2 linked regions of the Callithrix jacchus genome follow. The protein of the gene in region 1 binds, or shares a complex with, the protein of each later gene. Links are inferred from orthologs where the notes say so. Each region holds a gene or a part of one and is shown on either strand. Other genes may lie near its edges.

What was found.
Region 2: the proteins of RPS6KA1 (region 1) and SNTG2 are in contact, whole or in part, in a crystal structure (PDB 7QQL), measured with the Homo sapiens proteins. The link is inferred for Callithrix jacchus from reciprocal best matches to the Homo sapiens genes RPS6KA1 and SNTG2. Residues at the interface, in NP_002944.2 of Homo sapiens: Pro731, Ser732, Thr733, Thr734, Leu735; in NP_061841.2 of Homo sapiens: Gly82, Gly83, Leu84, Gly85, Leu86, Ser87, Ile88, Lys89, Gly90, His94, Ser101, Lys102, Phe104, His134, Val138, Leu141, Arg142.

The regions. Positions count from the first base shown.
Region 1 is NC_133508.1:63,207,271-63,210,864, reverse strand, and holds part of RPS6KA1 (ribosomal protein S6 kinase alpha-1), read right to left. Parts: intron 3,316-3,594; coding exon 3,185-3,315; intron 1,088-3,184; coding exon 962-1,087; intron 765-961; coding exon 675-764; intron 304-674; coding exon 145-303; intron 1-144. UniProt on the Homo sapiens protein: Serine/threonine-protein kinase that acts downstream of ERK (MAPK1/ERK2 and MAPK3/ERK1) signaling and mediates mitogenic and stress-induced activation of the transcription factors CREB1, ETV1/ER81 and NR4A1/NUR77, regulates translation through RPS6 and EIF4B phosphorylation, and mediates cellular proliferation, survival, and differentiation by modulating mTOR signaling and repressing pro-apoptotic function of BAD and DAPK1.
Region 2 is NC_133515.1:114,023,278-114,027,302, forward strand, and holds the start of SNTG2 (gamma-2-syntrophin), read right to left. Parts: upstream 2,840-4,025; 5' UTR 2,747-2,839; coding exon 2,675-2,746; intron 1-2,674. UniProt on the Homo sapiens protein: Adapter protein that binds to and probably organizes the subcellular localization of a variety of proteins. May link various receptors to the actin cytoskeleton and the dystrophin glycoprotein complex.

The DNA of each region.
Region 1 (3,594 bases):
GCACGAATCCACCCACACAGCCCTAGTCTCCCCTCAGTTTAGTTGGCTGGAGGCTGCCATTCCTGGGCCAGTATGTGGTTCATGTACTCTGCTGATGGTATAACCCTTGGCATTCCCCTACCACCTCCCCGAATCCAGACTCACCCCCTGTGAGTGCAGATACTCCACAGTTTTGCCGATGGTGTGCAGGACGAAGCTGGCTTCCCGCTCCGAGAAGAACTTCTGCCGCAGGATCTTGTCCAGCAGTTCCCCGCCCCGCATCAGCTCTGTCACCAGGTACACGTGTTTGCCATCATCATACACCTGCCAAAGACCTCACCATTAGGCTCTTCTCCCCAGTGTCATGCCTGGGCATCCTAGTCAGCAGCATCCGAGAGCAGGGAAGAATGACATGAGCCTTAGGCATGTGCTCTGCTGTGCACTTCAGTGGCCCTGCCCTCCCCGAAAAGAGGATGCTGACACTGGTCCCCTGATAGGCAAGAAGGTCTTCAGAAAATGCTTGAGTCTGAAGGAGGGCCCTTGGGGTATGGCCAGACTGCAGAGACCAAGGGTCCTCCTTCACCTTCACATGAGCACTGGAAGGAGGATGAGAAGTCAAAGGAATGGAAAACCTGAGACAAATCCTGGAGAGTTAAGTTCCTGGTCCCCACCCCAGTCTCAAGGACCCCACTCACATCTTTCAGAGTGATGATGTTGGGGTGCTGGCCGTACCGCAGAAGAATCTCAATCTCTTCTGAAGGATCCCGCTTGCTCTTGTCAATGACCTGAAGAAAGGGGCATGCACATGGCAGTGTCAGGGTGACAAGCTCCAGGGTCCTCCCCTGCTACAGAGGAGCAGGCCTGGAGGTCTCAGCCACACACCTTTCATCCATCTGCTGAGCTCAGGCACCACCCCTCCCCGCCAGATGGGGACCTGCCCCCAGCCCGGCAGCCTTGGCTGAGACATGTTCAGGAGGCCCACCTTGACAGCATACTCCATGTTGGTGGCCTTGTGGACACAGCGCTTGCACACAGAGTAGGAGCCCACACCGATTGTCTCCTTTACCACGTAGCCATCACTAAAAACCACGTTCTTCCCATGGAGTTGCTGTAGGAGACCAAAAATTGTGGCTGACCCCTGGCTCCAGAGTGCTAGGGGTCATCCCACAGCACCAAGGTCTTGGCTCAGTAGAGATGGCAACAGGAAAGAGCCAGGAGGCTTGGGGTGGAGTACTGGCAATGTGACTGCAGGTGAGAGCCTACCCCTCTCTGGGCCTCAGTTTTCTTTTTTTTTGAGATAGAGTCTTGTTCTTTTGCCAGGCTGGAGTGCAGTGGTGTAATCTTGGCTCACTGCAACCTCTGACTCCGGATTCAGGCAATTCCCCTGACTCAGCCTCCTGAGTAGCTGGGACTACAGGCGCGCACCACCACACCCAGCTAATTTTTTTATTTTAGTAGAGATGGGGTTTTACCATGGCCAGGATGGTCTTAATCTCCTGACCTTATGATCCACCCTCCTCTGCCTCCCAAGGTGCTGGGATTACAGGCTGAAGCCACCACGCCCGACCAGTTTTCTATTCTATATGATGGGCATACTCGCTGGCTCCCAGCCTGCCTGGACTGCAGCCTGTGGTCAGAGGGCAGTGTAGGGAGTGGGTAAGAGGGTCACAACATACATGGAGAGGTCTTTCGTTCTAAAAAGCCTGAGGAGGCCTGGAAGGGATGTAGGAGCCCTGAGCTGAGTTCCAGTTCTACTACTAACTATAGCTTTGAGTGAGTTGCCTCCCCTTTCTGGGTGTCACAGCTCATCTCAAGGTTCTGGGACATTAGCTATAACAATGCTCAATGGTGCTTAGTGTGTGCTGTGTTCCTGGTACTATTCTAAGCACTTTCATCAGGTGACTGCACGCCCCATGGATAGCCCTGGTTTGAGCCTGTAGTCCTTGCATCCAGTCTGATTTAGTATTTGTCCTGGATAAAGAAAGATGTCCCAGTTTGGAAAATAAATGACATAGTCACTTTAACTTTATTTTTAAATTTTATTTATTTATTTTTTGATACAGAGTCTTGCTCTGTCACCCAGGCTGGAGTGCCATGGTGCATTCTTGGCTCACTGTAACCTCTGTCTCCTGGGTTCAAGCGATTCTCGTGTCTCAGCCTCCCAAGTAGATGAGATTGTAAGCATGCGCCAACATGCCCGGCTGATTTTTGTATTTTTAGTAGAGATAGGTTTCACCATGTTGACCAGACTGGTCTGTTTAAAATCCTGTCTTCAAGCAATCCACCTACCTTGGCCTCCCAAAGTGCTGGGATTACAGGCATGAGCCACCATGCCCAGCCCACCTTAACTTTACATGTATTAACTCTGATAATCCTCATAACAACTCTCTAGAGGAAGCTTCTATCATTTCCCCCATTTACAGATGAGGAAACTGAGGCACCAGGAAGGGAAGTGTCTCATCCAAAATCCATTATCTGGCCAGGTGCTCATGTCTGTAATCTCAGCACTTTGAAAGGCTGAGGTGGATGGATCACTTGAGGTCAAGAGTTTGACACCAGCCTAGGCAACATGGTGAAACCCTGTCTGGACTAAAAATACCAAAAAACAAAACTAGATGGTGTGGCGGCGTGCCTCTGCAGTCCCAGCTACTCAGGAGGCTGAGGCAGGAGAATCACTTGAAGCTGAGGAGGAGGTTGCAGTGAGCTGAGTTTGTGCCACTGCACTCCAGCCTGGGCAACAGAGCAAGACTATGTCTCTTAAAAAAACAAAAAAAAAACCCAAAGTCCATTATCTTGTGAATCTGGAACCCATGCAATGAGCTCTGGAGTCTACATCCTTGCCTCTCAACCCAAAACTTCCATGAAGCAGTGAAAGTGTAAAAATGGGGAACTAGTGTGAAGAGACACAAGTCCTTTGCCACCCTCCTGCCAGAGACATGACAGTCACTCTGCACCACCACCCTGGGAACCCCCTGGCATATACCCAGACCCTGGCCTTGTGCTGGGAAATGTATACCCATATCATTATCCAATGATCAGGGCCACCGTGTGGGCCTTACTGTCCCTGTTTTATGTTGGACGACCTTCAGGTCCCACAGTGGCATGAGGCTATGAACCTGGTTCTGTCGAAGTCAGAGCCTGTATTCTCAGCCATTCTGGTGGGGAGCTAAAAAAGGAGAATGGATCAGAACCCCCACCCCCTCACCTGTACCACTGAGTGCAGGGGTGCCTGTGGGGCGCGAGGCTTGCCATCATCCTCCATCAGGCCAGTGGCCACGAAGCTGAAGCCCCGGAACAGCTGATGGGCCCCAGCGCTAGGCGGGATGCCTGGGGAATCTGTAGGGACGGGAGGGGAATGTGAGCCTGAGGAGGTACCCTCCACCCTGAGCCAGCCCAGCAAAGGGGGAGCACAGGGCCTCCAGACCTGCCTCAGTAGCTGGCCATCGTGGGAGCCTGCAAGAGGCCCGTCCATCCCAGACATTAGCCTAACTGCTCATATGTGTTTAGACCAGTCCAGTCCTGACCCATGAGGAACATAAAAGACTCCCACCTCCACCAGCTGACAGTTCACCCCTTCCTGGATATTCCTCCCCAGCTTCCCTGTCTTATGTCAGC
Region 2 (4,025 bases), on another chromosome or scaffold:
CGAAGGGATGGGTAACCTTCCAGGTCAGACGCTTCATTTCTCTCATGCAGCAATTCCTATCTGTGAACAGATGGTTAAGTGATGCCCTTACCAAATGCACCTTGAAAACCACCTAACGTAGCCTCGCCTTTCCGTTCATCATATAAATGGGCATGTTCCTAGCTCACGCCAATGATTCTTCCAGCAGCCCAGACTGAAGACGTGTTGTCATTCAAAAGCAGTGAATGTGCTGTAAACACCAATCAATAGTCATGTTTGAAGCTACAAGCAAGACACCCTTAGCACACTGTATTGATGGTTCTCTGCCAGTGGGATTTTACCCAAAAATCCAGGTATGGTCAGAGACAGAGCTCCATGAACTGACCTAACCTAGAAAAAGGCATGGGGGACAGGCGCTTTAAAGAGGAAACAAAACACTTCTGCTACTGAACAGGAGACCTTCAAATCTGGCTAAATTCCATGATTCAAACAAGCAGTCATGATAAAGAATGTGTTATGTTTTTGACTTCAGACAGAAAAAATATAAGATTTAGGCTGGGCGCGGTGGCTCAAGCCTGTAATCCCAGCACTTTGGGAGGCCGAGGTGGGTGGATCATGAGGTCAAGAAATCGAGACCATCCTGGTCAACATGGTGAAACCCCGTCTCTACTAAAGATACAAAAAATTAGCTGGGCATGGTGGCGCGTGCCTGTAATCCCAGCTACTCGGGAGGCTGAGGCAGGATAATTGCCTGAACCCAGGAGGCAGAGGTTGCGGTGAGCCGAGATCACGCCATTGCACTCCAGCCTGGGTAACAAGAGCGAAACTCCGTCTCAAAAAAAAAAAAAAAAAAGAAATATAAGATCTAGAAAAGATGTTTTGTCATCTTTTTCTACGTAAAAGCACCAAGTTCTCTTAACTGAAGTAATTACACAATTTGAATATTATGCAGTTATGGCAAGAAAATGGATAATTCTGCCCAGCTGTCTCTGGCATTAAGCAAGGATGACGCTGCAAGCTGAGAACATTCGTGTTTTGAAGACAAACCTGCCAAAACCAACACTGAACAGTTTCCTTTTAAACAAGTAAGATTCTGGGCTGACATTACCCAGCACCTGTGTCTAGGGCAGCTTTAGAGCACACCTAAGTGTTTATGACTGCAAAGTTAGGAGTCTTGCTCTTAAAATGCTCCATCTTGTAGCATTTGGCCTCGAACGCTGAAAAAACGTTTCTTTCCATTCAGTTCGGATAGGCTGTTTTCAATAATCGAGGCCGTTATTACAAAGAATGCACCAATCACATCTTGTAGCAAACAGGTGAGTGGAGGCCGCCCTTGAAAACACCAAATTGAGCACCTTAATTAACACTGAGCACAAAGGAGACCATTTACTAGAATACGCGCAGTTGATGCACGTGTAGAAGTTATCGCCAATAATCCCTCAAGTGGGTCAATTATGAAGTGTGATGCCTCCACTTCAAAGCTTCCGCTATATCTGCAATGATTAAAAGCAAGACTTGTTGCAAGAAAGTCTCGAGAAAAATGCACAATCCCTAACCATGGGAGGGCATCGCTTTAACGCTGAAAGCAGTGGAGAGCCTGGGATTCCGGGGAGGCCGCAGCTCCTCCTGCAGTCGCTTCCCAGGTAATCCCCGCATATCTCCTCGGGTTGGATGACCCTGGGCCACCGTGGGATAGATACTCATATTGCAAAGTACTTCAAGAAATAAACACCCGCTTTTACATGAAATTTCATTTTCACATGTTGTGTAAAAGCCCAGAAAGGTATGGCTTGAATGCAGATGCATCTATGTCCACACGGAACAGAGTGGCTGGGACCACGGTCGCAGTTTAGAATCATTGCCATGAGGACAGGAGTTTGCAGCAGCCCCAACCTGTGGCCTTCCGAGCCGTCTCCGGGGCCCTACAAAGGGGAGCTAAGTGTACTCCTGGTCGCTCCTGGGGCTGGGAGCTCGCAGGGAGGGGATCCCGTCGGCGGCTTCCCGGGACTGGGCGGCCACGTGCCCCCCGAAACCGTGTTCAGAATCGGGGCTGTGCTGTGGGAACTTGAAAGCTTCCAACAACTTTTCGTTTTTCTTTGAGCCAACGTTTGTTTTCTGTCAATCAATAGTTAATTTAAAAATAAGAAGGTGGAGAGGGAGTTATTTAGGGCAGGAGCTAGAATCGACTTCCAAAAAGACATCTCTGTGACCAGCTGGCGTCCCAGCGACCCCGGAATGGCCGGGAACCCCCAGCACGGGCCGAGGCGGCGCCGCGAACCCTCAGGCTCCCCCAGGCCGAGTCGCACCAGCCCGGGCGCCCGAGGCTGCAGGGGGGACGCTCGGTCCGCGCGCTCCGCGGGGCCCACCAGAGCTGCCCCTGGAAGAAACGCGGCGCCCAGTCGGAAACCCCAAACTCCGGAAAGCGCCACTTGACGCAGTGAAGGGGAGCCCCGCGCCTCGGAACAAGCCTTTCCAGAGGGTCCAGGCGCAAACCCCACAAGTTTCCCGCTGAGACGCCGCGCAGGAGAGGGCGGAGCGCGGGGCGGGGGTCCAGGGGGTCCTGGCTGACCGCGGCGTCCCGGACTCCGGAGCCCTCCCAACGGGCAGCCGCCCCTGGAGGGAGGGAAGGGGCGCGGGGAGGCCGAGGGGCGCGGAGGGAGAAGGAAGGGGCGGGGGCGGGAGGGACCATACTCACCGGCACAGGCACCAGCAGGCAGCCCGGGCGTCCGCGGGGGGCGGCGGGAAGCGGGAGTCCCTCGATGCTCATCGCCCAGCTCAGCGCCAGGACCCCACGCGAGCCTCCAGAGTCCCGCCGGGCGCCGCGTCCGAGCCCCTCTGCAGGCTCCGGCTCGGGTTTCGCGCGCGTCCGTGGCCTGGGGCGCGGGACTGGGAACCGGGAGCTCCGCCCACGAAGTCCCGCCCCGGGCGAGGGAGGGGCGCGGCGTAGCCGGAGTCGGGGTGCCGGGCGCGCGGCTCGCGGGGAAGGGCGGCGTCTGGGGGCACGGGGCGTTCCCTGGGGTCGGAGGGACCTTCGAGGGGCCGGCGGGGCTGGAGGCGGAACACGCGCTTCTCCCGGGCTGGGTACCCAGGTCCGCGTTCCAGGCCCCGGCGCTCCTTTGAGGCGCAGGTGGGCGCGCTCTGGACCGGCCTGGCGACCCCTCCCCGCCGCCCCCGCCCCGGCCCAAGGTCCTCAGCTTCTCCTCGGGGACGTTTCCAACCGCAGCCTCGGGGTCCCCGGGCGCCCCCAGCCCTCTGGGGTCCCCACACCTTCGCCGGCCGCAGCCCTCAGACCTTCCTCCGGCGTCTCCCCAGCAATGGGGGAGCCCGGAGGACCCCGAGGACTGCCCGGCCCGAAGAAAAGACAGGGAGTCCTCCCCTTCCCCCAGCGCCGCTCCCGTCGTCCTTCTCCCTCCATCGCCCCAAAGGTCCGCGGCCCCGTCCCGCCTCCGGGGCGCGGCGTCTCGCGAACCCTGCGGGGACCCCGATCTCGGCTGCGGCGGAGACGCGGGTCCCCCGTTCACTCAGCTTTGCGCCCAGAGGAGCCTCCCCGACGCCCGCACGGGGTTCCCAGACTCAAATCGGCCTATGTTAATGTAAATGAAGTAAGTTTAGGGTAAATTCCCGTGGGGCGGGGCAGTGAGGGGCGCACAGGCCACCTACATTTTTAGAAAGAAGCTGGCGCCCCTTTTCCTCCTTTCCAACCCCCTCCGTCCTCCAGGCCAGGCCTGGGCGCGGGCGCGTCTCGGAGACCCGGACGCCCCTGTCCCTCCCGCTCCGAGGCAGCAAAAGCCGCGAAGTCTGAGGCCTTTGGAGGAGGTTCGCCCTCTAGGAGCAGAACTTGAGTGAACAAATAAACGTTGAAAAATCGCTGTGAAACGCTTTCCTTTTTCTGACTCCGACTCGCTTGGCCGCCGGCAGACCTGGGTTTCGGACCCGGGCGCCCCCCCATCCCCCCATCTCTGGGTTCCAGGGCGGCCTGCGGGGGATCTCAGGGCTTCTCAGCACCACCTTTACCGGAGCCAAACGCAGTGTTTTCTTTTTCTTTT